Linked DNA regions of Lepisosteus oculatus. The protein of the gene in region 1 purifies or fractionates together with the protein of each later gene. This does not show direct contact. Links are inferred from orthologs where the notes say so. Each region holds a gene or a part of one and is shown on either strand. Other genes may lie near its edges.

The links.
Region 2: the proteins of prpf8 (region 1) and ddx23 purify together in Homo sapiens (affinity purification with mass spectrometry; 5 studies listed by BioGRID and IntAct, counting the BioPlex papers as one, with this or other methods). This does not show direct contact. The link is inferred for Lepisosteus oculatus from reciprocal best matches to the Homo sapiens genes PRPF8 and DDX23.
Region 3: the proteins of prpf8 (region 1) and snrpa1 fractionate together in Homo sapiens (co-fractionation; 3 studies listed by BioGRID, with this or other methods). This does not show direct contact. The link is inferred for Lepisosteus oculatus from reciprocal best matches to the Homo sapiens genes PRPF8 and SNRPA1.
Region 4: the proteins of prpf8 (region 1) and eftud2 purify together in Homo sapiens (affinity purification with mass spectrometry; 9 studies listed by BioGRID and IntAct, with this or other methods). This does not show direct contact. The link is inferred for Lepisosteus oculatus from reciprocal best matches to the Homo sapiens genes PRPF8 and EFTUD2.

Annotation. Positions count from the first base shown.
Region 1 is NC_090721.1:8,659,609-8,666,712, reverse strand, and holds the start of prpf8 (pre-mRNA-processing-splicing factor 8), read right to left. Parts: upstream 3,002-7,104; 5' UTR 2,854-3,001; intron 2,418-2,853; 5' UTR 2,406-2,417; coding exon 2,306-2,405; intron 1,301-2,305; coding exon 1,132-1,300; intron 754-1,131; coding exon 589-753; intron 1-588. UniProt on the Homo sapiens protein: Plays a role in pre-mRNA splicing as core component of precatalytic, catalytic and postcatalytic spliceosomal complexes, both of the predominant U2-type spliceosome and the minor U12-type spliceosome.
Region 2 is NC_090696.1:21,000,742-21,007,919, reverse strand, and holds the start of ddx23 (probable ATP-dependent RNA helicase DDX23), read right to left. Parts: upstream 3,012-7,178; 5' UTR 2,913-3,011; intron 1,469-2,912; 5' UTR 1,452-1,468; coding exon 1,264-1,451; intron 1-1,263. UniProt on the Homo sapiens protein: Involved in pre-mRNA splicing and its phosphorylated form (by SRPK2) is required for spliceosomal B complex formation.
Region 3 is NC_090700.1:49,165,962-49,173,289, forward strand, and holds the start of snrpa1 (U2 small nuclear ribonucleoprotein A'), read right to left. Parts: upstream 3,011-7,328; 5' UTR 2,876-3,010; coding exon 2,794-2,875; intron 1,926-2,793; coding exon 1,778-1,925; intron 1,634-1,777; coding exon 1,555-1,633; intron 1,389-1,554; coding exon 1,342-1,388; intron 40-1,341; coding exon 1-39. Other genes in the region: selenoprotein S-like, read right to left, coding at 5,359-5,432, 6,103-6,169, 6,780-6,908. UniProt on the Homo sapiens protein: Involved in pre-mRNA splicing as component of the spliceosome. Associated with sn-RNP U2, where it contributes to the binding of stem loop IV of U2 snRNA.
Region 4 is NC_090723.1:533,216-540,391, reverse strand, and holds the start of eftud2 (116 kDa U5 small nuclear ribonucleoprotein component), read right to left. Parts: upstream 3,014-7,176; 5' UTR 2,891-3,013; intron 1,846-2,890; 5' UTR 1,835-1,845; coding exon 1,733-1,834; intron 1,563-1,732; coding exon 1,400-1,562; intron 731-1,399; coding exon 652-730; intron 316-651; coding exon 240-315; intron 1-239. UniProt on the Homo sapiens protein: Required for pre-mRNA splicing as component of the spliceosome, including pre-catalytic, catalytic and post-catalytic spliceosomal complexes. Component of the U5 snRNP and the U4/U6-U5 tri-snRNP complex, a building block of the spliceosome.

The DNA.
Region 1 (7,104 bases):
GGGGCTCTGCGATCACCCCAATCGTGTCACCCTCCCCCTCAAGGCAGCACCTACTTTTCCCTTTTAAATCTCTGCACACCAAATCCCAGCAATACGTAGCACCCCTCACTACTCATTAAGCCGTTACGCTCTGCTGAGGTCACTAGTATAGTACAGGTACAAGAGTATCGGGGCGCAGGCTTTCAGCGGCCTTGCTGCAGGGCTCCCTGCCAGTCAGAGGTAAAAACTCATTTATAGTTTTTTAACCCAGCCTATAGACTTCACCTTTCATTCAGACTTTTACCATCTGCCCTTTCTCATTTTTCCCCCCACATTACATATTTCTGCTCAGTATTATTTTTTTTCTATTTTACTCTCAAAGGCATCCCAAACACCACTAGCGTCCCAAAATAAATCCTTGGACATTTAAGTTCCAAAATCCGCAAGATGAAATTCTACCTTGCTCAGGCCATGCTAAATGCTGGACTGTTTCTTCACAAAACCCCAAACCAGCATGACACCCAGAACCCATAAATAATTCTAGTAACTCTATTTAGTGCTCATTAAGGGAAATCCACGTAGTGCTGGCAAGCTGTACAGCTCTCTCACCCCCACTGTGCGATGTAGACGGGCTCGATGACCCAGGGGATCTCGTTGACAAAGGAGATGGCCCCAGTGATGTGGTACAACACAGGCACGTCCCGGATCTGCTCCCAGGGCATGGGCATGTTCTCCAGCAGCTTCAGGACAGCATGGGGCATGTACTTCAGGGCGCTGGGCAGCACAGACACGGGACATCAGGGACAAAGCCATTTTATACCTTCCATTACACAAGCAGGCCCCTGTCTAAGGTACCCGAGGTCAATGTGGAATTGAATCCACAAGTAAGAAAAGATTAACAAATGAATAGGATTTCACACCATGCAGAAAATGTCTGATCTTCAAAACCTTTCAAGATCCTCATTACACTTGTGCACATAGTATAGCAATTTTACAATTCCAACACAATATTCCAGTTTATATTCCAAAGGAGTACACACTTCAAGACATACAGATCATTGGGGGGAGGGGGGTAACCTTCAGGGGAATCAGGGTTATGAGCCCCAAAGACAGCACTGCTGGAAAGATGTGCAGCCCCGAGTGTTGCCTTACCCCAGATACACTCTCTTGTCATGGCGGAACTTCCTGTTGGTCATGTCGCCGTGGTCGCGGATGATCTTGCGGACGTGCTCGGGGGGCATGTCCTCCTTCTGGGCGTCCACGAAGCCGAACTTCCTCTTCTCCGCGTAGCGCTTCGCCTGCAGCTGCTGCCATTTCCGAGCTGCGGCAGGGAACACAACGGGGTGTCTTGTCAACCAGCTGCATTTGCACCCCCTTGCGGGACGCCAGGGGCAATATTACTGCTGTTACCAACAGTGCCGTGGGATCTTAAAGAATAACTGATAACTCCTTACACTGCAGTAGAGCTTTACTGGACACGACACTCAAAACGCTTTAAGGGGTAATGGGGATCCCCTCCACCCCCACCAGTGTGCAGCCCCACCTGGATGATGTGACGGCAGCCATAGTGCACCAGTCTGCTCGTCACACACCAGCTCTCAGTGGGGAGGAGACCAGAGTGATGAAGCCAGTTCAGAGATGGGATTAGGAGGCCATGATTGGTAAAGGCCAATGGGAAATTTGGCCAGGACACTGGGGTAACACTGCTACTTTTTCCTAGAAATACCCTGGGATTTTTAATGACCACAGAGAGTTTTAAGTCCCACCCGAAAGAAAGTGCCTTTTTACAGTTTAGTGTCCCCATCACTATACTGGGGCATTAGCACTCACACGGACCACACCCCTACTGGCCCCATTAACACCTCTTCCAGCAGCGACCTTAGCTTTCCCAGGAGGTCTCCCATCCAGGTACTGCCCAGTCCAGTGGGCTGCCAGCTGTGAGTTGCAGGGCAATATGGCTCCTGGCCAATGGAGCAGTACAGATCTCCAGGCACCACAGTGGGGAGGGCTGGCTTGGACATGCTGGGCTTATAGTTAAGAGCACTGGTCCACCACCACCACCACCACTTACAACAGCAGCAGCCCGGTTTTCTCTCAAGGTCTCCAAACCCAACAAAAACAGCACAGATAAACCGCACTCTGCTTGAGAGCTGGCAAGATCGCCCTAACTACTGTCCGACACACGCTGGCTTTTCACGCGTCAGGTTCGAGCGAGAGTGTTTACGTCTGCCGTTCAAGCAGTTGATCCAAACCCTCAACTCAGACACGGCCCTTTTCCGAGCCACACTAACACAGGGTGTCTCCTCCAGTGTCCCCCCTCGCTCACCTTTCTCCTGCAGCTTCTCTTCAGACATGTAGTCCGGCACCTGGCCCGGAGTGGGAATCGTCCCTGGTGCTGCTCGGTACGGAAAAGCAGCAGCAGCCATGGTGACGCCAACCTGAAACCGGGCAAACAACAGCGATGTTAGCTCCTGCTCTCCGTGTGGCGTGTACGCGGCTCGGTGTAACTTCTAAAACGCGCAAAAACGTGTTCACGGGAAATAAACATCGAGCTCCCCCGCCAAAACAGCATATTCTAGATCAACCGAGGCAGTGGCAACACTTACGCCAGGAAGTCGCTGTAATTTGTAAACAGTTCGATCACCGATTGTCTGGATTACAAAATCCATGGGCGATCATATTGCGTACATACCGACATTCGTCTTTATTATGACCCCCACGGGGGAAAAACAAACTACACGAAAAATAAAATCGGATTACACGACAACACGACCAGCTCACAAGTTTGCGCCACAGTCTAGGCCAAATAAAGCGCAGCTCCTGCAACTTTTCCAATCGCTGCAAAACTGCTCTTTCATCACCAGTGTTACCTACCTCAGGTCCACGGCACTTTATTTATATGTAAAATCCGTCCCTATGCAATCTCTAGATCATTCCTTTAAACGATATTTTATTCAAATCCGTCCACAGCTTTCTCCGCTGCTAAACATCCACCAGGCACAATGGCGCAGACTAACGCAGACCGCACGATGCCAAACTACGAAAGTATTCGCGAAGAACACTTACGTTTTTTCCGTAGCTCTTGTGCTGTGTTTGCAATAGAATACCCGATAGCAACCAACGCCAAAAGCGTAAGCGTTAATGCGTGACCTTTTGTACAAAGCCCCGGATGTTTACCCGGAAAATGATTTAGACTACATTTTATTGGCGGGTATAATTATCCAATCAGTGAGGTAGGAGGTGGGCTAGAGAGAATGATAGGAACCATCGAGATTTCAAACAAGGATATACGTCACTATGCAGTTCGTTGAATCGCCATCTTTGTAGAGTGTACGCTTTAGAGCGTATTATTATAGTAAATAAACAGTAAACATTTTCCCAGCATCGTCAATCTCCCTCTCCACCCCAATAATTAAAAGTGTCAATTGTTTTTCCCTACATCTGGAAAAAAAACATTATACAAGAAAAATTAAATTGATTGAAATCATCTGAAGAGGGTGGTGCCCAAATGATAGACATTGATATCATGAATGGTACCCTAACGATAAAATGGTTGCGTTCTTTTATGAATAATAAAGACAGCTTCAGGTTTGCTATTCCTAGGAAAGTAATGGGAAAAATAGGAGGCTTTGACCTCTTGCTGAGATGTGACTTTGACATAAACACGCTCCCAGTCAGACTTTTTGTTTTTCATCAACAAGTACTGTTATATTGGAAATGATCATATAACCATAACTTCACCCCTCATAATGCTGTTATATGGAACAACAGATATATCTGGCAAAAAAAGAGCATATTTTATGAATCCTGGTTAAATAAAGGTATTTGGTCAGTCGTGCATCTATTGGAGAAGGCTAATGGAGAAGTTAATAAATTTTGTGATTTTGTTAAAAATATGACATTTATATGACAATTATAGATGCAATTCCACCAGATGTTCTGACTTTGGTAAAAAAAAAATCCACATTCCATAGTAATATAATTCCCCTACTACCTGAGATCAAAATTGGTACCTACAATATTTTAGAAAAACGTGCAATAATAAATACACCCAGACAATTATGGCAGATAGATTCTACCCTCAAGGAGAAAGTAATTTTTAATTAAAGAGACTATTATTCTCTTATGTCTGCTAGAATCCAGGTGGGGCTGCACACTGGTGGTGGTGGAGGGGATCCCCATTACCTGTAAAGAGCTTTGGGTGGACTGTCCAGAAAAGTGCTATATGAGTGTAAGCAATTATTATTATTATTATTATTATTATTATTATTATTATTATTATTATTATTATTATTATTATTATTATTATAACTGAATACATTAATGTCTCCCCTCGCCACTGAAAACTTAAGACATTCATTTTAAAATAGAACAATTTATATCCCTCTAAGGAATTTCTGAGAAAAAGGTTTAACTTTGATTGTAACACTTGCACCTTTTGTGAATCAGATATTGAAACAACTGAACATATTTTTCCTCATGTCATCAATCAACAGCTTTCTGGCACTCTGTATGTTCTTGGGTAAATAATAGTATATTTGTGCCCATCTAGCCTTTAAGGCTATTGTGCTTGGTGTTTTGAATTCACACAGAGAAGTCTGTATAATGTTAAATGCCATTCTCTTGTTGGCAAAAGTTTACATATGTGCATCTAGAGTTTAAAAAACTTCTATGTGCTTTAAAGAATTTTCTAACTCATTTAAGCTATACTCAAATTCACTGAAAATATTTACAAATATGCTTGATGAGTTGGTTTATAAATATCTTTTACCATATTAATGTATTTCATGTGACCCCTATCGCCACACAACCTCTGTACTATTGGTAAAGTTCTGGGTTTTGTTCTGTTTCATTAATTTGATGCTACCTTTGTTCTGTCATGTTGTGACATCTGTGTGTGTATACCCTTGTTTGTCGTGTTTTCCTTTTGTTGTATATCAAAAAATAAAACAAACAGCACTGGACAGGACCATGGGAAGGGACTGTTCCCTTGAACTCCTGCTGAGGACTGGACACCCGCGGTTTCAGAGCCGGGACAGGGGTAAGGCAGGGACAACAGCAAGAGGCAGGGCTGGGAGAGACTCTTTTAGTGTGCAAATCCAGCCCCAGAATCCACTTGCTCCGATTGAACATGGACAATCAACTTTCCAAGACCTTTTGTAATACGGTAGAGATTGCATGACTTGTAAGTGTATACACATGGTCAGATGTTTATTGTGAAATAAAGTTTGTTGTGTTGGAAAAAAATAAGCAGGAAACATTCCCCACAAAACCAATGGTTTCATGATATTGATTGGTCCGTTCCCTGTGTTTTCCATAAAGGTCTTGTTCCTTATTTGTATTTCAGACAAAGCTAACACTGCAGACAGGGGATGCAACCACATTTAACTTTGTACTAAGAAAATTTTCTTCATGTCTAAAACTACTAACTACTTTCCAAGGTGTTTATTTTTTCAGGCTTTTAAAGTATGAAAAAGAACTGGGGTCTGCAACCCCCCGCAACCTGATTTAAGTGAAGATAATGCAGTACTGCAGTGTATGATAAGCTTTATTAAAAGAAATTCGTAATAACTCAATCACGCAGACCTGCGTATTATATCAATTATACTTACCTACAGTATAGGTATAAATTAATACCTAAAGATAGTTGTTAAAAAATCACTTTAAAACAGGATTAATACGAACACATGTCCCTGCATCTGAGTCTAAAAGTTTTATTGAAAAGTTTGGTCACAGCACATAACAACAATCCAATTTAGTTTTGTTAAAAGAATGACGTGTTACATTAAAAAAAAATATGTTTGCATCTTTAAAAAAAATCAGATTCATTCAAATGACATACAAACGCAAACAGAATGAAAGTACTGTATTTAGTAACAATGATGTTGGGGTGTTCAGAAATTGCATACTCTAGGCCAGGGACTTTGGCTGTTAACTTCTACGTTAATGGGCAGCGTGGGCCTCTCTTACAGAGTGCTGTTTATAATGAGCTTTGCTTCGCTGGCTGGCTCATTCATTGTTAACAGTGTGGTGATTCACACAACACTCAGACCCAGAAGTGAGAACGGCCCACTTGTCACCTGTGCAACCCAGGCCTTAAACAATGCAGTCATCGGGCTCCAGTGCCCCCTGCTGACTGCAGGCACCACTTAAGAAGTCAAACGATTATGCGCTGTGGATTTCTAGTTTAGATAAAGCCCCCCCCCACCCCCACTTTGGAACAGTGTGACCTGACAATGTGTGAGAAAGACTAAGGTACTGTGAGATACCGTAAAGTCACAGTCTGTAACTTCCACACCAGCCTGTCTCTAGCTGTGTGGAAAACTGTGGAGTGTAGTCCTGCAGAGTGAAATCATGGTAAACACCTAAAGAAGTATACTGTAGCAGTGGGACACAAGTCATGGGAAATGATAAGAAAGCTTAACACATGCATGATCAAACTACGTCATTATTGTAAAAATCTGAAGTTTCTGTGGGCATCATACATAAGCAATGAAGAGTAGATGTGGCTAGAGAATAATATACTACAGTCTTCATTGAGGAGCACAGACTTGTGTTATATATGAGCACAGACTTGGGGCTACTTAAATAATGTGTACTCAGGCACAAGGTCTCACTGGTCCAGTAGTCCCACACCAGAGCCTGGCAGCATTCAATATCACTCTTACGTCTCTGCACTGGGTGCCTATAAGGCCATGTACTCAATATCAGATCCTGTTACTGACTTTAAAGGCTCTAAATAATCGTGCTCATACACCTCTGAACACCTTCGTGTTTACACTCCCTCCCGTAGGCTCCGTTCAGTTAAGGCTGGTCTTTTGCTCACTCAGGACTAAATCTCAGACTTTTGGTGCTTCTTCTGTCGCTGTTCACTGTTATAGAGACAAATTCTTTGTGTGTCTTCAAATACAATCACAAAACACACATTTTGGGGTCTTTGACTGAATGCCCCACGGTGTGTCCTGTATGTTATTATTTAATAATTTTTCTTTTACTTTTTTACTCATATCTGGCCTCCCACTGAAGCTCAGCAGGTGTAAGCCTGGTCAGTACCTGGATGGGAGACCTCCTGGGAAAAACTAAAGTTGGAAGAGGTGTTAGTGGGGCCAGTAGGGGGCGCTCACC
Region 2 (7,178 bases), on another chromosome or scaffold:
CACCAACAGAGAGGTCGTGTGACTGTGGTGACTGAGGCAGAGCTGAGACAGGCACAGTACAGAGTCTGGGCAACACAAACACTGGGCAAGCAGCCCAGACAAAAACCAGGCGAGGCAAATCCAGGAGAGAAGCACAAATGCCAAGGCAACAAACACAGCAGAGGTGGAGTGAAAACTGAGGCTGAAGCATGCTCTTGGACTGAGCACTGAGGCCGGCAGAAATCCCGGATCCTGGGAACAGGAGGGAATGGGAATCAGTGAAGTGGCGCGGTAGAGAGCAGTCTGCTGCAACAGAAACATCGCAGCTCAGGGCGCTGGTGCCAGAGAACACAAGACACCTGCCGCCACACAGCGTGCAAAAACTGCATCTTCCAACAGCAGAATCTTACCGTGCCTCACACAAATCACAAGGAACACAACTTCTCTAAACAATTCGTTGACATTATTCAGAAACTAAACTGCTGCGAGGATAAGCGCTTTCCTACACTTCACACTGTTACACCTGGGGGCACAGAGGGAAGACAGGGGGGAGGTCACACCCCCACACTGCTGCAAGTCTTCCTGAGAGCCCCCTGCTTGTAGAGCACGTTGAATTGCTCCTGAGCTTCACTATTTCCTCCAACCTGTTGCCATTTGTAGCTCAGATTTAACCATACGACAGATAAAGTAGTACGTTAAGGCACATTCAACAGAAGACCTGAATAAAAGATTTATTGAAATGCGCAGGCTGCAAAGGAACAAGTAATAGGTTTATCCCACGCTGAAAAGAGAAGAAAGAAAACACATTTCGGCCGTGGAGCCTTCATCAGGTGTCAGAAAAAGACTTTTCACCATGGTATAAACCTATTACTTGTTCCTGCTGGTTCCACCTGTTGTTCCTTTATTGAAATGTGTCGATACGGTTCTGTCCACCTTTAAAAAGCTCAGAGGCCTGAGGAAGAAAATCTGTTTCCATGTCCGAGAGAGAGTTACAGTGGGAATAGAAAGTCACCACCCCCTGTCAGAATTTGTACCTTTTCTGAAAATAAAAACAAATTAAATTAGGCTTGCTTCATTTTTATTTACACACAGTAACCCACATTAGCCAAGTGAAAAGAAAAGTCTAAAACCTTCTGAAAATGAATATCAGAACAGTAAAATACCCTATCTGGATAAGTGAACGTGCATTTGTGAACATGCTCAGGTAGAGCCAGTCCCCTTACAGATCACACCTGTGATCGACTGGCGATCCTGACGAGTTCAGAATAAAAGCAGCCCGCCCACCTGTCCGCGGATTTGGAGCGGCTCCGGGATCTCTTCCGGTCCCGGGAGCGGTGGCGCTTGCGCTCCTTGGCCGGCGAGGCCTTGCGGTCCCGGTCGCGCTCCCGGGAGCGAGATCGGCTGCGTTTCTTCTCCCTGTCCTTCGGCCCCGAGGACTCTCCCTCCTTCTTGTCCGAGGAATCTCCGGCCATCTGTCAGCTGGGTCGGGCTGGGGGCAATGAACACACAGGTGCATCAGGCACTGCGGGCAGCTCAAGGGGTCCCCAACCAGCCCTCAGTGATGGTGGAGGGGACCCCGATCTGAGCCCCCATGGTGGAGAAGGGGTGGGACCCTAGAGGAGATCCTTTCAGGGATGGGCTGCTTCCACCCGTCAGGCCTGTAACTGGCCTCTGCTCTGCAGGCCAGTTAAATCAGAGATCCCAGTGTGTTTCCTACTGGCCGTCGGAAGTGGCTTTCAGGCAGGCTGGGCACAGTCAGAGTTGGGGGAAGAGGGGCGCCTCCAGCTCCCCTGAGTTCGGGATCAGAGGACTCACTCAGTGGGGGGAGCTGACTCCCCCCACCCCCATTAGCCAAAGGAGAACCCGGCCGCAGTCCAGAGCAGGGGAGTCGATCCGCTCCTGCAGAGCCCGCTGTCTTGTGCTGGACAGCAGTGGCCATCACAGGCGCTTAGCCACTGACGAGACACAGGGCTTATAGTGGAAGGGAGGGTGTTGCTGGATAAATCAATGTTGTTGCGGTCCACGACCGGGTGGTCCTCTGTGTTCATGCCTCACACTGAAACAGCCTGCGATTAAAGTCACAGAGCACCAGACGGCCCGCAGACATGTCTGGAGCAGAGGTGTCTAAACCCAGCCGGGACTCTCTGTTACACAGCTGACCGGATTGTTGAACTGCACCAGGCCAAGACCTGTAAGATCATTACAAACAAGAGGAGAGGCACCGCAGCCGCTCAGGAGGTCATTAATCTGAGTTTCCCATCCAGCAGTTTCTTGAAAGAAGCCAGGGTATCGGCTCCAACAGCATGCCCACCCCCACCACTATTTGTGTACAGCAATGCCTCCTGTTCTCGGTTTAAAATGCACTTCCACGTGATTTTCACGTAGCTCTAACCTGGAACTTGCATCTGAAGTTTTATTTATAAATAAATGGCCCTTTAATGAACTGTTCTCAGTTATTAGCTGTAAAAGCCCTCGTGTAACACCTGATTTTTGCCTGTGTAAGAAAACAATAAGTGTCGCTGCTCGAAAAGAAAAAGGAAATGGAGCACACACCCTCCAGGGCCCTCCAGAAAGTCAGACTGATACCGAGTCACAGTTCGGGACTTACAGTAAAAAACTTTACGACACCGTGGATTTAAAAATTAAAAAGCAATAGTGTCAAAGCTCGATGGCGAGTTGTACAAACGCAGACCTGCATGTAAACATGAAACAACGACAGTCTTCGTCTAATTCTGAAGTAAAACACGGCGGATTCACTCAATTCTAATGCGAACACAGCACGTCTGCAAAACAAAATGGAAACACAACGAAACGGGGCTCTACGTCTAAACAGTATTTCTAAAAAATAAATTAGTATATTTTCCATGATTTGGGTTACAGGCTATTAATAGTAACCCAGTAGCCGGAGAAGTTGATAAAACAGATACCCTTACCTTCTCAAATATTCCAATCCTCTCTGATCACCGAACTCACTTCGTTTCTACCAAGCCGCCATGTTCTGCGAAAGCGGAAATGCGCCTGCTTCGAACAATGAATTCTGGGAGCTGTAGTGTTCTAGGCGAGAGTCCTATAGGAAGCTACGGAGTTATGGACAACAATTCCCAGAAGACTCTCTACATGTGTCGTCATCTTACAAGGACATTATTTAAGCCCTCTAATCATATGGGTATCGTACTGTAGTACACAGGTATTATCAATATAATTACAAAGCCAGAACAGTGATAATTAAACCATTGTAATCAGGATCAAATCTATTTATCACGTTCAGCAGTACATTAATTACAGTCTACTGCAAGTAACCTCTAAGTGAATTAGAAGGCAATATACCGTATCTGCAGCTGTATTCCACACATCCATTTTCAATCCACTTCATCACTGTAGAGTTGCAGGGGAGCCGAGGCCCATCCAGCTGGCAGGCAACCGGTGCAAGGTACGACACCAGTCCACCACAGGGCACACACTGACACACACACTCACACCCACACCCACACCAGTCTTCCCAGAAGCCAATTAACCAGCATGTCTTTGGACTGTGGGAGAACATGCAGACTCAACATGGGTTCAGGAATTGAACCCAGGGCCCCAGCGCTGCAAGGCAGCAATGCAAACCGCTGTGCCTGCATGCCAGCCCAGATATGATCATAATAATTCTACACAGGAACAAATCAGGGTTTATTCCATGCTGAGAAGAAAAGAAACTCACATTCAAACTACTATGTTTTCAGTGGCCTTTAACTCCCACTCTAATTTTTTCAATAATAATAATAAACTTTATTTTATATAGCGCCTTTAAAGGTGGCTTCTCAAGGCGCTAAATGTATCACTCAATGTATCATGGAAAAATACACAGTTTTATCGTACTGTTCATATGTTTTTTTATGTGTAAATGGGTTCATGTTGTGTTAAATGTATCGTGTACTGGGTTATGCCTCTCATAAGATAAGATCACTTTATTGGCCATATACAATTTCTTGTATTGGGAATTGGTCTTTTCGCAGACCCCAGCTTGCTCTCCCTGAGACACACAGACACAGACAGGGAGAGAAGCTGGGGGTCAGAGCTGCCTGCAAAGCAAATTTCCCATCTGGGAGAATAAAAGAAGGCGGTGCCTTGAGAATGCCCTGGATCAAAAGGCACGGTATAAAAAAATTATAATTAAAAATAATTGAAAAAATGTTGGAAAAAAATATAATATTGAAGGTTGCAGGATTGGCCACAAGGTGGAGCTTTCGCCATTTAGTTGTTACTGCAGTCAGGTACTGGTAGCATTTCATTAAATATTATTTTGAACAGATAATAAATGAACACTTTTAGACTATTAAATAGAAGTGGTTAATTTATTAAACGTTTGTGTTACCAAAGGATTTACCAAGCCTGTATGAAAACATTATAGCGTTGAAGAGCCAGAAGTATAATAGGTTTTAGATGCAGCTAAGATAAGCAGATCTCCAGAGCCTGATGGTATTCATACTGTTGGACTCAAAGGAATGTTCTGCTCTGACGGGCCAAAAAAACTGACTATTTTTAGTCTTAGACAGAGAGACTATGAGGGGAACTGGGGTATTCAACACCCTTAAAGGCCCTGACAAAGTCAACTCTGCGGTCTTCTTGAGTATCAGTGAAACAGAAGGGTAAGGACACCAGTGACACCTAGACAGCAACTCAGAACGACAGGTGGTTCTTTACACAAAGAATGGAGGGTGTCTGGAACAACCTGCCTGGCCATGTGCTGGAAGTAAGTTCCCTGTGCTCCTTTAAGATGAGAGGAGATCCTCAGGTCAATTACCTACTAGCCAGAAAATGAACCAGATGGGTCTGAAACGCCTTCTGTCATTTGTAACCTTCTTACGATGTTAAGTAGTTAGCAGAACTTTAATGCTGAATGTCACTCGTCTAAACCCAGTGCCTCAGGACCGGAACAGGGTAATATGAGCCGCCTCCTGTCTTTTTAATGGATGAAATCAGAAAATCTCATCAAGAAAAGGCAAAGACATAAAAATAAATTAAAAAAGGCCCATGGCCGTAAATGAGGTGTCTATCTTGAATACCAACAATGTATTAAGCAGGCTTTCCTCACCTCTGTGTGTCTGGATGCTATTCAGATGTGCTAATTGGGGAACAAGGGTTGGTATTAGCAGCAGTGCAGCTGAATGTAATGGAGTCGGCTCTGGGCAGGGAGGGTAGGGGCACAGGAGGCATGAGCTGAATGTTAATGTCATTCAGGAACGAGTAAGTCCGAGAAACATGGATCTGTAACACTACGCAGCTCTTTATTACGCAATTACTCCAGCATGGAAGAACTCCAGCATAGAAACCCTCATGCACAATCCTTCAGTGCACACACACACTGCTGTCATTCACATTCTGAAAACTGGACAAATATACTTCAAAGGTGGCTTGTGGTTTTATTGTCATTATTCACAGGGACTGTCCCGATCCCCCCTTAATTCTCAGAGGAGCAGAGACTCGGGGAGAGACTGGAGGAGAGGAGAAGAGACTGGAGGAGAGACTGGAGGAGAAGAGGAGAGACTGAAGGAGAAACAGTTTGGAGGAGAGGAGGAGAGACTGGAGGAGAGGAGGAGAGACCGAAGGAGAGACAGTTTGGAGGAGAGGAGGAGAGACTAAAGGTGAGGAGGAGAGACTGGAGGAGAGGAGGAGAGAGTTTGGAGGAGAAGAGGAGAGACAGTTTGGAGGAGAGGAGAAGAGACTGGAGGAGAGGAGGAGAGACTGTAGGTGAGGAAGAGAGACTGGAGGAGAGACAGTCTGGAGGAGAAGAGGAGAGACAGTTTGGAGGAGAGGAGACTGGGCACAGGACAAAGGAAGGGACAGGGGTACACATTAAAAACACCCAACTACCACTATAACAGACACAGAAAAAAGACACTCCTTCCACACCCCAGCACATGACCGAGCAGGTAGTATTTGCTCCCCTTTGTGACAGACAGACGAAACTGTCTCCCTCTCTCCCTCCTGTCCCCAGATAACACACTTCCATCGACCCCCCACAAACAGCTAGGTATGAAACAAATGGTAGACACAAGGCCCGTGGTAATTAGATAAACAGGTCACCTCCCAGTTTCTAATTAAATCAGCCCCCCCATCTACCCCTTCCTGATCCCTAGCACCTTTAACAAGGAATCTTAATTAGAACTAATAGCTTCTCTGCAGCATGCTTCTCGCGCTTGCAGCTCTCAGGAGATAGTCCACCCCCCTGGTTCTGTCTATGGGCTCCTCAGGGGCTTGGGCACGTCTCCTGAGTACATGTTAAAGACTGCTGTTCTCATTTAGAGTCTGCGTCCTAAAGAAATCCTTCAATCCTACCAGCTGGGGTATCTCAATCCACACTGAAAAAACTCCAATATGTTCAGAACTCAGCGGCCAGAATCCTGACCAGGTGGCTTGCAAGTGATCACATTACTCCTGTCCTGGAACCCTCGCACTGGCTTCCTGTCAGCTTTCTAGTTGACTTCAAAATCCTCATGCTCACCTATAAGGCTCTACATGGCTTGGCACCTCAGTACCTGTCTGACTTATTATCTGTCTCTTCCTCCACCTAACAACCTTCATTCATCTGTCTATCTGTCTGGTCTCCTGTCTGACCTCCAAGGTCGTGTACACTCGATGGGTGACGTGCCAGGGCCTTCTTTTACCGGCTGCTGAGTTATAGCACAGATAAGGCAGAAACAGCTGAAAAAAAAACCTGTTTCTGTCTGTGTAAAAGACTCAGTTAACCATTTCAAAGCACCAGATTATGGGCTCCTATTCCAGATTTGTATAAGGAAGGTTGTGGGTTCAAATCCCAGGTGAGCATGCTGCTGTTGTACCCGTGACCAAAGTACATCACCAAAATCATTCCAGTAATATATCCAGCTCTGTAAATTGGTGAAAATGTAGGCTGATTTAGCTAAAAGCTTCAGTGAAATGAGTAGTACTGTAGGGTGGCATGGTGGCACAGTGGTCCGCATTGTTGCCTCACGCTGAGCCCCTGAGTTTAATTTCCGGACTTGGGGTGCTGTCTGCGTGGAGTTTATAAGTTTTCGTTGTGTTTGTGCAGGATTCCTTCCACAGTCCAAACACACGCTGGCGGGTTAATTGGCTTCTGGGAAAACAGGCCCTGGTGTGAGTGTGTGTGTCTGTGTCTGTGTGTGCCCTGTCATTGACTGGTGTACCCTGCCTTGTGCCCATTGCTTGCTGGGAGA
Region 3 (7,328 bases), on another chromosome or scaffold:
CTGTAATGTTTTTTGTTGGTTACTGGATTCCTTAAAAGGCTGAAAAAATAAGTACGAGGTTAGTTTACAGTTGACAGATAATTCAATTTACAGATGTGAACTACAAAGTTTTGGAAAAAGCAAGCCAAATTCAATTTTATTTCAAATTAATTTGAAATTAAAAGGTTGAAAACTGTGTTTTACGCCAAAAACTTGTATTTACAGGCTGATGCATGTTAAACAGAATGATATACCAATCAATACCTTCTCGATAATATAGTTTGGGTTCAGGATATTGTATCTTTCTGTGGAACTGTGGAGCATTTCCTTACAACAACAAAGAGTTTGACAAGAACAATTTGCAAAATCTCCAAAAACAAATGTTAAGGTACTGACATTTTAATGACTAATGAGAGTTTATACACTGACAGAACTACAGGGAAAAAGCAAACATCCTAACAGAGAAAGTAGAGAAAACTGATTTCTGTGTTTTTTATATTTATCATGTTAATTCCATCTCAATATTCCCTTTAAGGTATGCGGTCTGACTTCTGTTTTCCCAACTGAAAAACGAAAGACAATCACACAGATGTCAATTTATTTTCTATGACCATACTAAAAAGACCCGAATTGTGGCTGGAAAAAAATATATATCCAGAACCCCAGAGCTCCAACAACTCTGGAGTAAAAACAAGAATCTGCTCAAAGGCTCAAGAATCAACCAAAACCAATAGTTAGTGACTGAGTGGAAATGCGGTCTCTATTGCCAAATCATGTACACCACATTCATAGACAAAATCACTTTCAGCTTCCACAGACCACTAATAGCATTCAGCAAATAAATGAAAGATCAATGAATGACGGGCTCTTGACAGGTACTGACAGAAAAGCATTTGTCACATGCAAAAATTCCAGCCTGGGTTAAAAAAATTGGACTCCATGTGTTTCACCGCCTATAACAAAACTAGCATTCCTTCGTGCAATATATTACAGAACATAAATCTTTCTATCAGAAGGTATTTTACTCTTCAGGTTGTAGACTTGTATTACTTGGAACAAGTAGAAATTTATACCACGCTGAAAATAGAAGAAAAGAAACAACTTTTCGGCTGTGGAGCCTTCCTGTATTACTTTACAATTTGCAGTACTGCTGCAGGAAGTAAGGTTTTAATTAAGATGAATGACAAGAGAAGACAGGACCCATATCCTTATTCATTTAGTTCGGCTCCCTGTTAATGATTATAGTTTTACCGTTACACTTAATACCAAACCAAATTTCCCAATGAATTTCAATTTCAGATAAGAGTATGACCACAACAAGAGTTAATTCATTTTAGAGGAAGCCAAAAAATATATATATACCTCAGTAAGGTTAGGCTCTTTACCGATGCAAGAGGATCCAAATCCCCCTAGGGAAAAAATAAACAGATTTAGAAGTTTTTTTTATTTTTAAAAAGGCACACTTGAAAATCCACATTAACACTGGGATGCATGTGAGTCAACACATAACACCACAGCTTAAAACATCTTTCTGCATGTGTAAATAAGAAAGGCCAGACAAAAAAAATAGCTTACCAGCTCCTGGATGTTATTACTTGTGAGGACTAATTCTCTCAAATTTGGAAGAGACTGTTCAAGACCTTCACCGATTCGGCTAGAAAACACAACAAGCACAAGCTTACAAGATTAAACCAACAATGAGGACCATGCAATTAAAGCCAATTAACTCAAATTTACAGGAAAATACTCTTTATGCAGTGTACAATTATTAATGAATAACAGTTCCAGTTATGCTCACCATATCCTGTTGTTATTCATCAACAGCGTTTTTATTCTTTTCAGCAAGGGAAAGCCATCTAGCTTCCTGATTTCATTGTCAGAGAAATCTATAGTGTCAAACTGATCCAATGTGGCTCCCAGGTTTTCCAGGACAGGGATTTTATAACCTGAACACGAGAAATTGGGATGAGAACAACAAACGGGGACAAAACCCACAATACTCTAGTACTGCTACTTAACCACCACTCTTAACCCTTCATGGCCAGTCAGGAAAGTGTCACCAGGAGAATGTCTAGCCTGGTAGGACTGTCAAGTAAAAAAACATCAGACTGCACACTGAAGATGGACACTGACCAGAGTTCATCTCTGTAATCGTACTTATCGGCCACTGAAAACAAGAATCTCAGCCACAATCAAGGCGCACCAATCTGCCAAGGTCTCCTTTCAACGAATGGAAAAAAAACCGTTTTTTTCAGACTCAACTCTAGTTATTTGTCGCTGAATCATTAGCTTATAAATGTATCTCACTCCTCATCCTTGAAAAATGTATAAACTAATAACTGTATGCATCTAAAAAAACAATAGCTGCATATCTCGTATATAACATGATTTGAGACCCTAGCAGCACCCCAGTATTGAACACGGCTACATTTAAAATAGCTGCAGAAACCCGTCAAGGACTTCTGAACTCGCCTTTTATCAATATTGTCGCATAACAATGAAAATTTTAGAAAAGAAAACCTTACTGCAATGCACGTGCACGTTCTACTGTTTTCACACAAAAACAGTAAAATTATTTCATGCCACGTACGAGTTATTACGCTTATTTAAAACGGTACATTTGTGATAAAATAATTCGCAAGAAACGATTAAAAACAAAACGTTCCGCCTTGAAAGGTTAAGTGCTCGACACATCGGATTTTAAATTGCAAGTGATGATATACAAAATCACAAAATATTATTTAACTCGGTTCAATATCTTCCGCGGCCTTTGTTAAATTTACCGCTTTATCCGTCCTGCGGCCCGCAACGTACCTCGAAGGTCCAATTCTCTGTCGCGAACAGGGTTTGTATACTGAGCCGCCTGTTCGATCAACTCTGCCGACAACTTCACCATAGCAACAGATAGATTTTGTTCTTAAAGAAGGTTACAAATAAAATTTAAACAACCACAACCAAAGCTCCCTCAAGAAAATCTTTCCCCTAGCACGCCGCTAACTGGCTCTGCATTTATTCCCAGCATGCAGCAGTAGCCAGCATCGAACCATAGAGATAAACACATTAGAGCGGACTACCCAAACAACCCGGATGTTTCGTATGAGAAATGAGAGGCCATTTTGGTAGGGCTCATATTCCAGGGCCTGAACGCAAACCTGTAGTGGGTAGTAAAAAAAATACTAAATTATAGAGAGTCTACAGAAAATGCAAAACGATATTTTTATCATTTATTGTTTTTAAAAGTATATAAAACATTTATGATAACATTATGTTTATTAAGACATACTGATTAAAATACAGATGCTACTCATCCCTGCACTATATCAGCTTTATTACTGTGCAACTCCCAACTGGTAACCCACTGAAACGATGCAGGTGTGAGCCTGGCCAGTACCTGGATGTGAGACCTTCTGGGAAAGCTAAGGTTGCTGCTGGAAGAGGTGTTAGTGGAGCCAGTATGGGCCGCTCACCCTGCAGTTTGTGTGGGTTCTAATGCCCCAGTAGTGACATGGACAGTGTACTGTATAACAAACGACGCTGTCCTTCGAATGAGACATAAAACCGAGGTCCCGACTCTCTCTGGTCATTAAAAATCCCAGGGCATTTCTAGAAAGCCATAGGGGTGTTACTGTGGTGTCCTGGCCAAATCTCCCTATAGCCTTTATCAATCATGGCCTCCTAATAATCCCCATCTATGATTGACTTCATTACTCTGGTCTCCTCCCCACTGATAGCTGATGTGTGGTGAGTGTTCTGGCGCACTATGGCTGCTGTCGCATCATCCAGGTGGGGCTGCACATTGGTGGTGGTGAAGGGGAGACCCCATTACCTGTAAAGCGCTTTGAGTGGAGTGTCCACAAAAGCTCTATATGAGTTTAATGAATTATTGCACAGCTTTCAGGAGCTGGTGCTGGAGACTGACAATGAATGTGGACCAATATGGAGACACAGAGAGCAGGAGCTGCTTAACAATCATTAATTTATTCATTTACTTTCCTTTTCCTTTTTCATACAGTGACATGTGGCATTTCACAATACAGCTGCATCGACCATATTGAGACAGAGAAGAGCATGAGCTTGGATGAGATCTTTGGATCATTTGGTTACTCAAAGCCAAGCAAGCAAGACTGTCATGCCCGACATCCCTCCCTAGAGGGCGCTCCACTGCTCTCATTATTGTTCGTGTGATTTAGCTCTCCAGGTGTACCCTTTTAGCGTTATTATTTAAAGACCAGCTCCTCCAGTCCTCGGGGCTCATCATTAGGGTAAGATGTCGTGAGGCCCGCCTAGTACCAGGAAACCCTACGTCCGTCTCCTGAGGGCATAGGCCTCATCCCCGACACCTCCCGCTTCCTGAGCCCGGGGTCTGGAGGATCTCGCCCCGTCACCCTTGGACCTCCATGTTTCGTTCGTCTGTGTGCTCCCCTCTCTCGGGGATTTTAACTTTGTCGCGTTCCAGGATGGATTTCCAGTTGATGGACTTTCGGACTGTGCTTTGACCTGCCCTTGGACTCGTTTGGATTTGGATGCCGTTTTGTCTTCCCCGTACACTGTCTCACGGACTGTCACTATTATTTTGTGCACTATTAAACCCCTGTGTGTTCCTTTTTACCACGCCTCCTGTTTTCTCCAGCTCTTACCGCATCGCATAGGGTCTTCTACAATATCTGACACGGATTCCAGTCCGTGTCCGTTACAAAGACGGGCTAAATCGCCTCTGCTCATTTGCAAGCTGTCCTTATGAAGGACTAGAAAGGTTTGAATTCGGTATTCTACTGTAAGTCTATATACACTACAGACATGTAAATGTAAAAGAACAGATTTTTTTGTTTACATAAACATTTGTAGAGAGAGTTTAAAGTGTTTTTATTAAGTTTATACGAACACTTCATACAGTACTTGATTTACATACATTTATTGCTTAGCTCTTTCCGAAAGAATATAGTTCTGCATTTGGCAGTTTGCATAGGCACTTACAGTATTAAAAATTAAGCTCTACACCTCAGCAACATTAGAAATAATGCACTCACAATGCCGATTATACAAGGCATCATCTTATCTATTTCTACCATCTTAATGAGAAAGTCTCTTTAAAAAGATGATTTCATTAATAGCTTACAGACTCGGCATGCAATGCTACTGTGAGACAGACTACCTTCCAAATAAAAAAATAGACACCTGTATTTAAGGCTTATAGGGGAGAAAGATAAATAAAATAACCTCTGGGGCATACATTCCAAAACATTTGCTCATGAAATCCCAGTTGTCTCCAGTGGTCATATTGCATGCTAGGTCTGGTAAGCCTAGTAAGACGATGTCTTTGTCAGCACACTGTGCCAGCTGGCAACAGGGAGACCCCAGCGCTGACTGGGGTCCCTAACCTCATCCTCCACCGCTCCTCCGAGAGGCCCTCCAGGAGGAGCCACAGCCCCCATCTCCTGACAGGGGGTTGTAGTCTGTGGAGGCAAAGACACAATGTAGTTCAGGTAAACGTTAAACCAGTGTTGTCAGACAAGAAGGTTAACATTTTAATCTGCATTTGTTTTTTGCTTCACGAAACTTATTTGTGTGTCCTGCGCAGGTTAATGTGCGTGGAAAAGTGATTCTACCCTTGTGTATGTCAGCACATTAGATGATGCACCACTACTATCACGGAAAACTGCCTTTTCATATTAAACTGCGGCAATAAAACTCATGGCTGAGCCCTTTTCCCAGCCTGGTTTCCTGTGGGTTTATGTACATTAGGATATGCACTTGGAGTCAAGGCCTGATGGGGTTTAGGATGACAGATGACTGTTATGCATACTGTCTTGTAAGAATGGGAAAATGCCAAGCATACACATTTTAACCAACAGTGCTGAGGCCAACAAATACATGAAGAAACTCCAAAATTTCACCTCTGGCTGCAGGATGAGAGAGCAGCTTTGCTCCACTACTTTCATGTTAAAGATATTTGTAGCTAATCACAATACTTATTCCCTGTACATCTTCAACTTATTGGTATGGATTTTATAATATTAGGAGAATCACATAGTGGCAATTTAAGTTCACAGACCAGTTGCTGTTCTGGCATGCTGTCCATTGGGAGTAGAAGTAAAGATCAGTGTTATTATTAGCTCTTCTTACCATTTGACCTTAGAGGCTTCTTGTCTCTTGTCTTCTTGGGAACTGCAGCGAGCTCACTTGTCTCTTGCTATTAAGAAAGCAAAGACACCACATTGATCCCACCAGATGGTTTAACGTGCACCGCACAATTTCAAAATCCTGCCATTGATTTCTTCCATGGGGAAATCATTGAGAAGCTGTGCTTTTCCATTAGCACTCCTGGAATGCAACTGCCGGCAGACTTAATAACATCATCGCTTTTCTTTCACAGTCATCAGTATTCCACAAACAAAACAATAAAGTGGAGGTACTTTTCACTCAACTTTCAGCTGCTCTGGCACATTTGTCTTTTGAAGTATGTAAGTATGTACTGTACCTCTGTGGCTTTTCCATGTTTTTACCTTGTACATCTGTTTTGCCATATCTTCCCATCATTTGGGTCATACTTTACCTTACAAACTATACTGCCCCAGGCACAGCCTTAATTCTGCTTTTGCCAGTTAGATTATCATAAAGGTGTGCATTTCAGTGTTTCTGCATGGGAAGAACAGTGTTTGTGGAAAAGAGGTGAGATCCATGTGCAACATCACATGTTTTGAGACTGCTTTCAGGGTGGATAACACAGTACAGTGTATGGAGCTTATGTGATTTGGTTGATCATTTTAAAATACCAACCGCGCTCTCATGGTACGGTCTACCTGTGCTGCCTTCGCCTTCCCTCGGTAGCTCTTGCCCTCCTGCATGAACTCCCACTTCTCAATCTTCTCCTTCTTCTTCTGCTCTTCAGCTTCTTTATCTCTCTGCTGCTTCTTCTCCGCCTCCTCCATCTGTCAAAGCACAGAGGTCACAGCATCTGCACTGGCTCACACATGCACAGCGCCACTCCCTTTTGTAATGCTGAATCAATGAAGTAATTATGAGACGCTTGTGCCAGTAATGTTTTGTAAAATATTCAAAAGGAAGGAGAAACATAAGACATGTTTGAAGGAAAGTAATGCTTGCAGGAATTTGCAAGAAATTGCAGATGGCTAATAAAGAGATCTTAATCTTATCCACAGTGAATTCCCAAACAAATGTCGTGCTTTCCCTTTCCAGGAAAAGGAACCACCTGTGGGGATATCACCAAAGTGTTGCTTTGGGTGGACTGATTGGGGGTCCTGGCACAGCCATTTCAGTCTCTGCAACAGAGGTCAGAGATCCGGGCTGCACTTCTGAATTTCTGCACACCATCAAAAAGTAAGACATCC
Region 4 (7,176 bases), on another chromosome or scaffold:
CCAATGAACTACTGTGGACCTCGGCCAAATCTCAAATCAGGACCTGATTATACTACTGCAAAGGTGAAAAACAAACTTGAAGTGCTGCATATAGAAGCACGTATCCTTTCTTCAGAAAGATGGACTCTAGTCCGCATCACTGAGCAACATGCTGAAGAGTTACAGGTAAACTGCATTCCCCTGAGGACCTTGTCCGTCAGGGGGGAAACTGCTAACCAACAATCCTGCATTAGACTTACTTTGCCATGATGCAGGTGTCCGCAAAGTGTGACATTTCGGATCAGCTCTGGACTGTCCATCAGATCGGCTAGAAACCTGCAGAAAGGAAGATGAGGCTACTTAAAGGAACTGAAATGTTTAGCCTTCAACGGAGCTACAAGGGGAATTCAGACAGAGTGACTTAAAACTCTCACAAGCAATGACAATGTCAACCCAGAGGACTACTTTAGAAGTGAAACGAGGATTCAGGAACAAGTGAAAAATATGACACTTCGTTACACGAAGTGTGGTGGGAGTCTGGAATCAGCTGCCAGACTGTTGGAGCAGAGGCTAGACTTCCTCAGGGCGATAAGCATTCATGTTCAATCGACTGCCATTACACAAGACCAGAGCCTGTTGACCTGAATGAAACTGGTGTAATCTGAGACTCACTCCATGTCATATACAGTGGAGGGCAGTTCCTGCTCCATCAGCGTGAACTTCTTTGTCCTGACAGGTTTAATGATGGGCTCTAGGGGGAAGGAGAGAAGAGGAAATTCACAGTTCAAGTAACTTGTTCATCAATGCTTTCCTACACACACAAAGTACATCATCTTTATTACTCCATTTCCAGAAATGTTCAAAAAAGAAACTGCATAATTAAATGACAGACATTCTCATTTATGAGTGCTTAACAATAATAAAAAATGTTCAGAGGCAGAAAATCAAAACAGGAGACTAAATTACTAGACATAAAAGTGCTTTACATTAGCCAAATTAATCTAAGGTTATAACATACATCTCTGAATCTCAGACAGGTCGTTCAAGTCACAAAATTACGTTAACCTGGACCCCTCTGTGCACAAATTCACAGGTGTTCTTTCTCCCATTTCTGTAAGAGCTACATTCCAACTCACAGCAAAACCAGATGTAATTCACCTCACACTGCTCTTTCAAGCTGTAGTGCAGAAAAAGGAAATAAAAAACAATGTTGCCGTCTTAAAGCAGGGACTGAAATTATTTTGGTATGTCTGAAAACCTTACAACCTACAAGCGAAATCAGAAATGGTCGAATTTTGGATTCTTTAATAATATGAAGCGATTTCAACAGACGGCAATGGAAACCTGTCAGAAGGGAACGCTTGCTGAGCGAGAGAGGCCCCTGCGAACACAGAGCCGCAGCACCCCAGCCGGACCTGACCTGTGAGCGGCTGTGTGTCCTCCTCCTGGACGATGGTCTCCACCTCGGGCCCGTACACCTCCTCCGCCGTCGGGTAGTACTTCTTGTCCTCGTGCAGCACCACCTCCATCCCGGGGGTCTCCTCGTCGGGGTCGGCCGGCTCCTCGTCGTCGTCCTCGTCGGCCTGAGCGGGCAGACGGACAAGCTGAGCGCAGCGGAGAACCCACGCCGCCGGACACCAGGAAAAAACACAGGGGCGTCCCACGCACTGTGGCTCTGCTCAACCGCCCACACCCCTCCATCTCCTCCGGGCACAGAGCAGAGCAGGAGCAGCAGCAGCAACTAGCCTGTTACCTCCTCCGCATCTCGCTCGTCCCTGTCCAAGTCATCGTCATCATCGGAGTCCAGCTCTGGGCCGATGTAGTTCCCAAACTCGTCATACAGGTCGGTCTCCATGCTGGAACAATCTGTGGGAGGAAAAAATCAATCAAAAGCCCTAAGTGGGCTCAGAAACACACTGCCCTGGTTCTACTTCATAGCCAAATTCACGTGTGGAAAAGTCAACAAAAAACCAAGTCCATTTCTCTGCATTATATCTGCACTTGGAATATAGTTGTTTGCTTAATTCACAATATCATCGCATCAAATCTGATTTATAGCAATAATTACTATTCTTAATCCCAGAACTCTGAACTATTTTCAACGAAACCCCAACCTGCATGGGGTGTTTGAAATCACCCATAAAATTCACAAATGGAACCACTCTCTAAACCGCGGCAATTAAAGCGATGATTTTTTACTCGTTTATTTTTTCGCCAGTTTCCTACGGATTTGGGGTGTCTCAGAACACCAGGGCCGTCTGCAGTTGCTGTAAAGGTCTGGCCCGTGTATTATGATTCTGCTTTCTCTGGAATTTCAGTCACGTCTAACCAAACTGCGTCCCACAACGGTATGAAAGGTACGACAGAATGGGTCATTCCTGCTTTTCAGCTCCAGGTTTACTGAACTGCTGCAAATAAAGCTACAAGTATAAACAACCTTCATCCTAAACACGGACATTCCACCTTCTTTATTTTCTATTACCAGAGCATTTCTTGTCTGACTTCACACCAGAACTCAAGCTTGACTGTAGGGATAGTCAACTATTATCCTTTTATTTTTGCACTTTAACATATAGACCAAGAAAAAAAGTTAAATGTGCAAAAGAATTGAGCCCCCAGTTGAATGTCTGTAAAGCTGATCCTAAACAGGTTTGGTACTGGACGTGGCTAATTTGGGAACCAATTTTAAAAATCTGATGCTACTCGGGAACTATTTCAGTAACTCCATTTGCCTGGACGACGTGTGCATCATTAACAAACTTTAGATGAAAATGCGTTTATTATATGTTCATTCAAATGTCTGAAAACTATCAATCGATAATGATTTGCCGCTTTCCCTCAACATTTGTGTTAAACGCGAGACGTTGACTTGGTCTTACTACAGAATTATTTAAAATAACTGTAAACTCACCTTCGTATACACGTTGTTTAAGACAGTACTGCCTTTATTTTCGCCAATGTTTCTTCAATCCGGTGCGAGTTGCTCTCAATGCGTTTCACTTGCGCCCTCACCCGCTGCGACAAGCAGAGAGGAAGGACCCTGCGCGGAGTAAATTACGTAAGAAGATAATGGCGGCCACTGTACTGCCTGTTCAAAAATACTTTTATACAAGTTTACTGTTATTTAATTTGTCGATTTTTTCATATCCATGAAATTAAAAACATAAAATAATTCTATGTGGAACTTTATATGTCAGAATTCATCCAGTAATAAATACTGTAATTAGATAAAATAGGTGAACCTGTCAAGCAAAATATTAACGGGCAGAAAAAGATTGTAGTATTGCAAAAGAGTGTTAACTTATTAACATCTTATTATTGTAACACTACAGGGTTCACGTAGGCACCCTCACCGCTTCTGCCTCAGGTCGGTCCCCCACCATCAGGGACTCAAACCCGGGCCTCCGGCATCACTCAACAGGGACCCAGCCTGGTGAGCTAAAGAGAGATCTCCCCTCAGCCCAGCAGCTGCGGTCCCTGCTATCCACTGGGAAGGGCGGTGACGTCACCACTCTGGTAAGCCAACTCTCGCAAGCAATGGAGGCCGTATGCGTTACATTATATGAACTATATATGTTGGAGTTTATTAGCTTGTTAACAAAAAAAATACTTTGTTTGGTTGCAGGTTGTTCATGTTCTTTTGGATTTTGTCTACTCAGCCCCTTTAAGGATTAAATAGCGGCTCCCTGATTACTACTGAGAACACGATTAAATGGTCTAAGTGGCAGTTACATCATCACAAAGAAAAAGAGAAAATGCTTAACACCGTTTTCATGTTACTAATGAAAACTTCTAGGGCTTGACTTGGAACAGTGTGAGTAAAATTACAAAGAACAGAAGAGTTATTTTACAGAATTAAGAATTCGAAGAGGCGACGGTGCAGTGGTGAGCAATTCTCCCACTCTGCACTGCAGCCCTGGGTTTAAATTCCTGGGGAGCGATCTGCGTGGTGTTTGTATATTCACCCTTGGTCTGCGTGGGTGAAGAGGCCCGTCTGTGCTCTCCTGCAGTGCATTCATGTCCTCTGGATCACTGACTGGTGGCATCAGCACAGAGTGGTGTAAAAACCATGAGAAGTTAAGGGGTGGGCAGTCCAGCAGGCTGCCATGTTGGTCTGTGTCCAGAGGAGCTCTTGCCCAGGCAAGACGGGAGGAGGAGGAGATACCTCCATGATGACTTCTGTAGCTCACCACTGCGTGTGTTGGTGGTATAGTGGTGAGCAAAGGTTCGATGCCTGGCCACCGCATCGCCAAACGTTTTCAAATGCAATTGAGAGCTGTTGAAAACTGTCATGAACCTAGGAATGCAGCTAGCTCACCACTGCAGGGTCATCCTTCACTGACGACACAATATTCCAGCACCACAACACACATCCTCATGCTGCTCATGGGACAACAGCATTCTCATTACATGAAGGCAGCTGCAACCCACTGAATATCCTCGGAATAAACAGTGAAACCCAACCAGAGGACACATGTGGGAACTATGCGGAATTTTATACCAAGAACAAGAGGCAAAGGATTGTGGGAGTATGAAACTGGCTTCTTTCAAGAAGGACTGATAAATATTTATATTCCTAAACAACAGGGAGTTTCAAAAACCTCATAATTGTTTAATCAGACCCATGAACAAAAGTAAGCCCAGTGAACTATTTCAGAGTAATTCTTCAGAATAAACAGTGAAACTTAAACTGGGTGATTCAAGTGCAAATCACATGAAAAACTGGAAAAGGAGGCATTTATTTACATAAAGGGGCCATGTTGTTGAAGTAAATGCCCTGTTTTTTTTTAAGACATTCCTGAACGAGATCCTTGAATCAATTAGCTACTCACTATCAAATGGGACAGACAAGCATGTGCTTTTTACGGGCTCTGTGAGAGGATAGAGGCAGAATCCCACAGCAACCTAGCAGAAGAGGTTAAAGGGGTCATTAAAGAGGACATCCTAAATGGAGTTTCCTTTCTTGTTAAAGGACAGAGCTGGTTCATGAGAGTTGTGCTGCTGGAATTTGTTTTGGAAAGTCACAGATAGAGACATGTGCTGAGAGAGAACACTGTAAGACATGTTCCTTGGGATTTTTTATTATAACGGTGTTTTTTTTATGTGTCCTTTGTCGGGACTTATTTTTCTTTTTCTTTCTTTTAAAATTAGACAGTGATACCTTATAGCAATACCACATAGATGATACCTCTGTAATATTCCAGTATCAGAATAAAAACTGCAATTATGTGGTCTACATACAGTAGTTTATTCAAACCTTTATTGAACTGTAGCTCTTCTCTGAATCCAAAAACTTGTGTGCTGACGAGGGTCTGAGCACCTTTAAATTGTCACTGTTGGGAGAAGTATTTCTCCTCTGGCGTAGTGGTGGACCAGCGACAGGATTTTGAAGAGGGGTTAGGAGACGTGGAGCAGGAACTGAAACCCTGCAGTTTGGTGTCACCATGGCTGACAGGAGTGGAGCATGGTGGGGAGTAGAGAGATGTTTGGGGAACTAAGTATTGTGAGTGCAGACAGGCTTGTGGGGCCCCGCGGCACTACAAAGGCAGATAGGCTACAATTTAACGTTTTTCGGATTTTCATGGTTTGTGGGTGTGGCGTTTCACCGGGCATCCCTTGCCTGATGACACTTCTACTCATAGCATTAGAAAGGTTTGTGAATGAGTCCCAAGGGGAATAACAACTTGTTTTGTGGCCATATATTTCATGTGAATTGTGAGTTTTCCTGGACAAACTCTGGCTGCCGTCCATCTGAGTCTGGAACAGAGAGCCCTGTGGGGCTGAGTGACAAAAACTGAAACCCTCCCAAACAACAGCTTCAGTCTTAATAAGGAAACTAGAATTAAAATGAAAAAAATCACCACAGCAATAACATAAGATAGGGGTAAACGCTCAATTTGGGGTGATGTCATTAGGTGAGTCCCTCATGGATATGAACTGGGACCACTGCTTTTTCTAATTGATATCAATGACTTGGATTCTGATCTCATTAGCAGGCTGAATTTGTTGGCCAGGAGTATATCTGGTTGCTTGTATCTGAACTGATTCCAGAGCAGCAGTGTGAACAAATGTCTGCAAAATATTTTAAACAAGGTCTTTCTAGTGCATTGTTTAATTTTACTCTAACACACTTTATTTACATTCCCCACTTTTCTCTACATATCCTAACATTTTGTTCCCATTTTTTATTCCATATTGCTTGGAAGATAAAATGACACGTCAACAAAAACAACTAAATGTACTGTAAATGTGCTTTGTCAGCTGTTTGCCCAGTCCTGAATTGATCAAAATCTTTTTGAATTTGAATAAACTGAGTAGTTTAAGCAGACGTGGCTAGAGGTTCTTGGCCATGAAGGACATTTCTAAATTTAAAAATGATTAAGAGATTTTAAAAAAGTTTTTGTTTGTAAGGTCTGCCATTCCGGCTGTGAAATCATCTCTCTCATTTCCTGAAGCACAAGATACATTTCAAAATTTCTCAATCCAGTTCATAAGTGCTCCAAATAAATGACACCAATCATTTTTGAAAACTACTTGGGGGAAGGGGAGTCACTTTATTTTTTTTGTTTACACTTCAATTCTCTCTGTATTCAAATCTTTGAGCTTCCAAAGAAAATAAGAAGCAAAGGCTTTTTCTGGGAGCAAGAATTTACGGGAACACAACCTCTGTTGCAAACTGTGTGGCAACACTAAGCTGACTTCCTGTATGGGAACCTGCTGCCTGGTAACAGTGACTGTGCAAGGAGGATGTTATTTTACAAATTAGCAATTACCACAGCCATGGATTGGAACTGCAGGTGACAGAGAGTTAAGACCACATCTGAGAACGCTGCAGTGGGCGGGACGGAGAGTGGTCAGGATTGCCACTGGCGGAGACTTGCCAATGACAGCAGTCAAGGGTATTGCCAGGTAACTCTCTGCAACATGAGTCTGAAGTACAGGGACACATTTCCTAACACAGCGATTCCCAATCCTGATTCTGGGGGAGCCCTCTGTCTTCCGTTTTCTGGTGCGCTTTCCACCAGTTCTCAGAAATGTTGTTGGGGTTTGTAATTGTATCAACCCTGCGGCACTTTCTGTGGCAGAACTCCCCTCATCTGTTTTTTTCAGCTGAAATGAATGAGCTTTCCTTCAGCTGAAGGAAAACGTGAAACGTGCGCTCTAGGATTGTCATTCCCACCCTTGTCTGCTCATCAC